2 linked regions of the Macaca fascicularis genome follow. The protein of the gene in region 1 purifies or fractionates together with the protein of each later gene. This does not show direct contact. Links are inferred from orthologs where the notes say so. Each region holds a gene or a part of one and is shown on either strand. Other genes may lie near its edges.

What was found. The genes of interacting proteins can lie anywhere in the genome.
Region 2: the proteins of EFTUD2 (region 1) and USP9X fractionate together in Homo sapiens (co-fractionation; 3 studies listed by BioGRID, with this or other methods). This does not show direct contact. The link is inferred for Macaca fascicularis from reciprocal best matches to the Homo sapiens genes EFTUD2 and USP9X.

The regions. Positions count from the first base shown.
Region 1 is NC_088390.1:65,920,236-65,923,746, reverse strand, and holds part of EFTUD2 (116 kDa U5 small nuclear ribonucleoprotein component), read left to right. Parts: intron 1-187; coding exon 188-315; intron 316-1,063; coding exon 1,064-1,257; intron 1,258-3,462; coding exon 3,463-3,511. UniProt on the Homo sapiens protein: Required for pre-mRNA splicing as component of the spliceosome, including pre-catalytic, catalytic and post-catalytic spliceosomal complexes. Component of the U5 snRNP and the U4/U6-U5 tri-snRNP complex, a building block of the spliceosome.
Region 2 is NC_088395.1:41,067,344-41,071,296, forward strand, and holds the start of USP9X (ubiquitin carboxyl-terminal hydrolase 9X), read left to right. Parts: upstream 1-1,143; 5' UTR 1,144-1,424; intron 1,425-1,691; exon of another isoform or gene 1,692-2,452; intron 2,453-3,953.

The DNA of each region.
Region 1 (3,511 bases):
GGGTGACTCCACATCTTTTAGCAGCACGTTCCCAGAAAGCAGGCTATCAACTTTGCCCCTAGAATCATAGTGCCAGAGCTTTTAGTCCCCGCACTTTGAGCTTTCTGACCATTGTGAATGGTTGAGTAACTCCTGCTCGTGCTCCCCGGGGGGCATGTAGTAATGGCTTTCTCTTTTCCATCCACAGGCTTTGTGGACATGTGTGTGCAGCATATCCCTTCTCCAAAGGTGGGCGCCAAGCCGAAGATTGAGCACACCTACACGGGCGGTGTGGACTCCGACCTTGGCGAGGCTATGAGTGACTGTGACCCTGATGTAAGGGCACGTGGCTCCCTGGTTCTCTGATTTTTTTTTTCCTTTCCTGTGTGGGGATACTGATTTCTGGTCACCGGAGTCATGCCCTCTTCGCCACCCTTGCCTTCCCATCCCCATGGGCACAGTCAGGCCTGAATGCAAAGCCTAATGTTGCCGCTGCTAGTGCCATGACCTTGCGAACATTACTCACATTTCCTGAGCCTCAAGGCCTTGGTCTATAACACGAGCATAATAAAATGTGAGCGGTTGTTATGAGATTTAAATAAGATTAAGGAAGTGTTACGATTGTGTTCAGCATGTTGCCTGGCAGATACTAAAGATTCAACAAATGGTAGCTAATCTTGTCAGTCCTGGCTTTTAAAAACATCTTTGCCAGCCATTTCTTAGGCTGTCTAGTTTCTCGTCATAAATACACAGCCAGTTGAGAATTGAGTTACATCTTAAGAGGAAATTTGGGACAGTAAGCAATCTTGTGAATAGTGCCAGTCTGCCATCTTAAATCTGCGTCTCTTCTTCAATGCTCTTATCTTCCCAAAAAGAAAAAAGGAAGAGAATATTTTTGCTCTGCCATGTCTCCTATTCAGCCTCCTTAGAGGGATGGGATACAACATAGTTTGGAGATGAGATTACCTCATCTTTCTCTAGCTCCTCATAGAGCTCATGTCCTTGCTGTCAAGGAAGATGGTGGGGAGTAGTACTTCCCCGGAGGGTAGATGTGGTTGAAGCTGCACCCTGTCCCCTCTTCCAGGGCCCCCTGATGTGCCACACTACCAAGATGTACAGCACAGATGATGGAGTCCAATTTCATGCCTTTGGCCGGGTGCTGAGTGGCACCATTCATGCTGGGCAGCCTGTGAAGGTACTGGGGGAGAACTACACCCTGGAGGATGAGGAAGACTCCCAGATATGCACTGTGGGCCGCCTTTGGATCTCTGTGGCCAGGTACTGCCAACCAGAGCCCCAGGGGTATGCCTCGGTGTCTGTCCAGGGACTGCCCCCAAGGAGCTGGAAGGGGTGATCCTCCTTGGAAGTAGTTGCAAGGCTCTGTGCAAGAGGGGGTAAAGCGGCTCTCTATCTGCAGGGCTATTGACTTCTAGTTCTTCCTATCCAAGGTTTGCTGGGGCCAAAGGCAGCTACTGTTGGAATAGTGGCAGAAACTTTGCCTTTGCACTTTGGGTGGCTTGTGTGAACTTTTTTTTTTAGCCCTATTTGTTTGTTTGTTTGTTTTGAGACAGGGTCTCACTCTGTTGCCTAGGCCAGAGTGCAGTGGCACAATCTCAGCTCACTACAGCCTCCGCCTCCTGGGCTCAAGCAGTCCTTCCACCTCAGCCTCCCAAGTAGCTGGAACTACAAGCACACACTACCACGTCTGGCTAATTTTTTAATTTTTTTGTAGAGACAACGTTTCACTATATTGCCCAGACTGGTCTCCAACTCCTGGGCTCAAGTGATCCTCCCACCACAGCCTCTCAAAATGTTGGGATTACAGGTGTGAGCCACCACAGGCCATCTTAAAGCCCTTTTGAAAGCATGAAGCTTGTATGAACTTTTGTAGCAAGATTTCCATTGTTACTCATTTTAACTCTCTTTCCATTTCCTTTCCTCTGTTCCTTAAGTCATAATCTTTGTGTTTCTTCCCAAAAGAAATTGTTTCCCAACCTCCACTGTCTATGCTTTGACCAAGAGAGAAGGATTCACTGGATACCTTGTAGCATCCCAATCTGCAGAGTCAAACTTAGCTTGGGCCTCTGGGCTACTTGTCAGTTTATGAGTTTGGCTTCCCAGTTGACAAGTTAAACCAAGACATTTGTGTTCCCTAAGGTGGCTACTCTACCTCAATGATGGCCCCTTTTGTCAAATCCACCCTAAATGCCAAAAGGCAGAATATTGAAGAGCTGGGAAAGTGGAAGTTTTCTGTGATGCTTTTTTTTTTTTTTTTTTTTTTTTTTTTTTTTTTGAGACAGTCTCACTCTGTCGCCCAAGCTGGAGTGTAGTGGCTACGATCTCAGCTTACTGCAAGCTCCGCCTCCTGGGTTCACGCCATTCTCCTGGCTCAGCTTCCCATGTGACTGGGACTACAGGCACCCACCACCATACCTGGCTAATTTTTTTGTATTTTTAGTAGAGACCGGTTTCACCATATTCGCCAGGATGGTCTCGATCTCCTGGCCTTGTGATGCCTGCCTCAGCTTCCCAAAGTGCTGGGATTAAAGGCGTGAGCCACCGTGCCCGGCCTTTTTTTATTTTTTATTTTTCTCGCTCTGTCACCCAGGCTGGAGTGCAATGGCGTGATCTTGGCTCCCTGCAACCTCTGCCTGCCGGGTTCAAGCAATTCTCCTGCCTCAGCTTCCCAAGTAGCCAGGGTTATAGGTTTGCACCACCACGTCCACCTAGTTTTTTGTATTTTTGGTTGAGATAGGTTTCACCATGTTGGCCAGGCTGGTCTCAAACTCCTGACCTCAGGTGATCCACCTGCCCGCCTCAGCCTCCCAAAGCACTGGGATTATAGGCATGAGCCACCACGCCTGGCCTTCTGTGATGCTTTTGCTAGCCCCTTACAGTGGACACCTTGGGCAGCAGCTTTTTACCATGAGCTTGCAGTTGGAGTAAGATTTTCCTGTTATGTCCTCACAGAAATACCTTGTACTTTTCTTTCGTAATACTCATCAGTTTGTAACCACATACATGTGTGGATAATGATTGTTTACTGTATCTCTCCCCTGCTAGAATGTATCCGTTTTGCTCACCTCTGCTCTTGGCACGCAGCAAGTACTCAGTAAATTTTTGTGGAATAGGCCGGGTGTGGTGGCTTACACTTGTAATCCTAGCACTTTGGAAGGCTGAGGCAGGAGGATCGCTTGAGCTCAGGAGTTCAAGACCAGCCTAGACAACATGACAAAACCCCATCTCTACAAAAAATACAAAAATTAGTTGGGCATGGTAGCGCGTGCCTGTAGTCCCAGCTACTTGGGGGGTGACGCAGAAGGATCACTGGAACCTTGGAAGTTTGAGGCTGCAGTGAGCCAAGATGGTGCCACTGCACTCCAGCCTGGTAACAAAGTGAGATCCTGTCTCAAAAAAAAAAAAAAAATTAGGGAATGAATGCTCTGCTTAAGTTTCACTGCTGCTTATTGGATATTGCTTCAGGTACCACATCGAGGTGAACCGCGTTCCTGCTGGCAACTGGGTTTTGATT
Region 2 (3,953 bases), on another chromosome or scaffold:
CGAAGATAACAGCCTACAGTGTACACGGGTGGTCGTGTCTACTTTTTAGAAGCCCATGAGCTAGTGGGTAAGCAAATGATTCATGGAAATAATTACAAAAACAAGGTAACATATGCTAAGAGTTATTAGGGCTATGAATGATGTATCTTGGATACCCTATTAGGTAATTTTGTGGTGAAAAATTTGTAAACAATCTAGTGCTAAATAGAGAAATGGTTTAAAAATTTAAGATACCAATAACTTGCTTTCACTGTCACCTAAATTAGTTTGGTTCCATTTTTAACAGTCTTTTATTACAAACTGATATAATCATAGCATAACTAAATTCAACCCTGTTCTCTATAAAATCTCGTTTTGTAAGGTTTTACTATGATTTTGCATGCCATTTGATGTCCACAGGTAGTTTTAAGTCAAAAGGAAATCTGTAAATTAGGAACTGTTAATTTCCTCTTCATTTGGGCATCCTAGGCAGACTGTATAGAATTGTTCCAAGCACCCCATTAATTTGAGATTAGCCTAAGTTTTTCCTACGCCTGCACTTTGGAATATAAACATGTAGAAAATAGTCCATGACACAGCGGATGGGTTCATAAGTTTCTTCCGGGTTCTAACACCGAATCGTGCTGATGATCTGGCAATGGAGGCTAATCTTGCCATATCAAGTACGGCCTATTCGCTAAGCCGTCTGGGGTACTTTATAATTTTTTTCTTTCCTGGTCTGTTTGAAGGGCTCCTATAGCCAACAAGGTTGTCAGTCCCGTCAGTTACGCTGTGAGGACGCCTAAACGCTTTCAAGTACTGATGCTGCGCGATCGTGTGAAAGTGTTTCCCAGAGCACCTCCCTCGCGGGGTGGGGAAAAGGACCTCACTCCCCACGCCCCCTCCTTCCGCTGCAGGAGATAGCCACACCTTCCCCCTATCGGCGCCAAGCAGGTGGCCAGGCCCTCGGGACCTCGCGCCCCCGCAGCCCAGTGGCCCGGCCAGCTCGTGCGTCACGTGACGCGGGTCAGCTGCGCCGCCGGGACCTCCAGGCACCGCGGCGGCGACAGCCCAGCGCGTGGTCTCGGGATCTCATCTTTCCGCGCCCCTCCCCCCACGATCCCGGAAAAGGGGGAGGCCGGTGACGTCATCATCCGGGTTCTTGTCGGTGGGGCCACGGTTCACAATGGAACAAAAACAAGCGGCCAGAGTCAAACTATGAGCGACGCGGCTGCGGCTCACGCGATTAACCCCGTCGTGACCGCACACCCCGCCAGTCCCTGCCGCCCAGCCCCTCCGGCGTGGTGTGCCAGATCTTTTCGGGCCTCCCTTCCCCAACTTCGGTCCTAGAGCCACCTCTGCCCTCGTCCCGCTCCTGAGCCGAGGGGCATGGAACAGGATTTCTGGCGGTAGCACGACCCTGAAGGGGCCAGCCGGAAGAAACGGTACTGCGCGAACAATCTTTACCGCATTGTCTTCCCCTCCCCCACCCTAGCTCTCCGGGTTCCCAGCGGCTCGCGCCCAAGCCCGGCCCCCTCGGCGGCTCGCGCTGCTCTCCCAGCCTTGACGGTCCGGGGTGGAGGCGGGAGAAGAGGGGGCAGCTGAGCGGGAGGGGGCTGGGCAGGAGCAGGGGGAGGCCCGAAAGGAGGGGCCTGAGAGGGGCGGGGTCTGACGGGGGCGGAGAACTTCGGGTCTTGGGCGGCTCTGGGGCTAGTGGGAGTCTGCGCCGCCGCCGCCACCGCTGCTGCCGCCGCCGTCGCCGCTACCGCCGCCGCCACTGGCCGAGCGGTTTTTTTTTTTTTTTTGGTTTGCCGGATCCGCCATATTGACGAGGACGGGCATCCGCGGCTGCGGACGCTAGTCTCCGCCGCCGCCGGAGCCGCAACCTCTCCGCACCCGGCCCCGTCAGGGCCTCTGCCGCGCCGAGCCCCTCCCCGCCTTGCATAGCTCCCGGGCCTCGCGGGAGCCCTCCGCCGCCGCCTCTCTCTCGCGGGAGGCGGCCGCCTTAGCGCCCGGTGCTTGGGTCGGCGCCGGGAGCTAGGAGAGAGCTGCTGCAAAGCCACCAGGCCCGGAACGGGGACAGAGGCGGCGACTAGGGGAAGGTGAAGCCGTCGCTGCAGGAGGAGGAGCAGGAGGAGGTGACGCAGGAGAAACGCACCGCCCGGAGCCCGTCTGAGCTCAGCGAGAGCCCCAGCCTGAGGGGAGAAGGGGGAAGAGGGCCGTAGCCGGCCAAGGAGGAGGAGGAGGCGGGCGCGGCGAGAAGCGAGTTCCGGCGCCGGGCGTGCAGCCTTTTGGTTGAGACGCCCTCAGCCCCGAGCCCGGCCGCCGCAGCCTTTCAATACACTTTGTTGCCGGTCACCCACGGGCCTGGGATGCACCCAGGGTAGGTCTTGTCCCGAGACCGAGCCCCAGCGTCGCCTGCTGCCTCCCGCCTCCACGTGCCCTGGTTCTGAGAAGACGTCTGTGTCGTGCGGTGAGTGGCCAGCTGCACCGGGGCGACGCGCCTTCCCGGGGCCAACAGCTGGATGTGGGTGAGGGGAGGAGGGCGAGGGGGGTGTGCGTGTGTGTGAGCTTCTTCCCTCGGCGGCTGCCGGCCGGGCCGGGGCTTCCCCGTTCCCCCTCCTCCGGCCCGGGCTGGGCGGGCGCGCGGGGCCGTGTTGTGTGTGGAGCCGGTGTCCCGAGAGCGTGTCTTGTGTGTTTTGGACTGTAAGGGAAAATGGCTGACGGCTCCGTCCCTCCCCCTCCTCCCCCTTCCCGTCCTGTCTGGGGCCGAGTAGGAGGATGGAGTCTCCGGGCGTGGCGGGCAGCCCCCCCGCCGTCCGCACCCGGGGCCCGGGTCGGTTTGGGGGCTGGCCGCCCCCGGCCCGGCGGCCGCTTTCCTGCCCGGTCTGGTTCCACTTGACACCAAACGCCATTACTGAGGTGGAGTGATTTGGAGTCGGGGAGCTAGGCCTCGGCTACGCCTGGCTATCAGGCCTGACGACTTGTCCGCCTCCCCCCACCCTCCCGCGATAACCCGCAGTTTCTCCCCGGCCCTGGGCTCCTGGAGTCGGAGCTGGGTTATCGGCCTCCTACACTTCCTTAACCCCGCTTAATTTGCAGAGGGCCAAAGCCGTGAAAGGGGTTTTTGAGTGCAGAAATCGCTTCCAAGCTAGCTTGGACCTATTATCTTTCTATTTTTAACTGTTTCTGCAAATATTAGCATGTGCGAGTTTATTAGTGATCAGATCTTCAGATTCTTGTGACGTGAGGCTTAGGGTTGGATAAATGGCTGATTTTTCATTCATTGTGAAATAAGTTAAAGAGTTATAGAGCAGGTGTATAGATGGCTTCTTCAATTATTTGTGTGGATTTCTGTAGCGACTACAACTTACACGAGAATTTGCAAAATTTCTAGTAGAACCTGCTTAAATTAAGCATGTTATTTTTTGGAAGTTCCATAGTTATAACGTTAATTGAATTTACACGGTGCAGTTTACAGGTGTATATAATTGTTTCAGATTGTCTTTTAGTTTAAGCAAGTTGTAGGTATAGATTATTCATACTTTATTTTTCGGCGAGAGAAGTGTGTGTGCCGCTCTTTTACCTGGAAACCCATGAGTCCCTGAATCTACCTAACGTATGTATACTTTCACTTTTGAGGGGAATAATTTGGGGTGCATTGATTAGGAAACTTTCCAGCAGGTACTTAACCCTCTCGGAGCTAATTACCCTTAGGTAACTCCTTCACCATGACTAGCTTGGCTGGTTAGTACACTTGAACTTAAAAATAGAGACTACAAACTCTCCTTTAGATCTCGCTGGTCTTCTAATTCGCTGGGCTGCCATTTTGGTTTCAGCAAATGCCTTCAAATTCTTGAAGAATTATATATTAAATATAAAAAATGTCAACATTCTTTTTCTCAATTTTTAAACTAATGTGCTGTGTCATACATCTAACTTTAACCCTTTAAACTTTATCGTTCCAGCGTTTG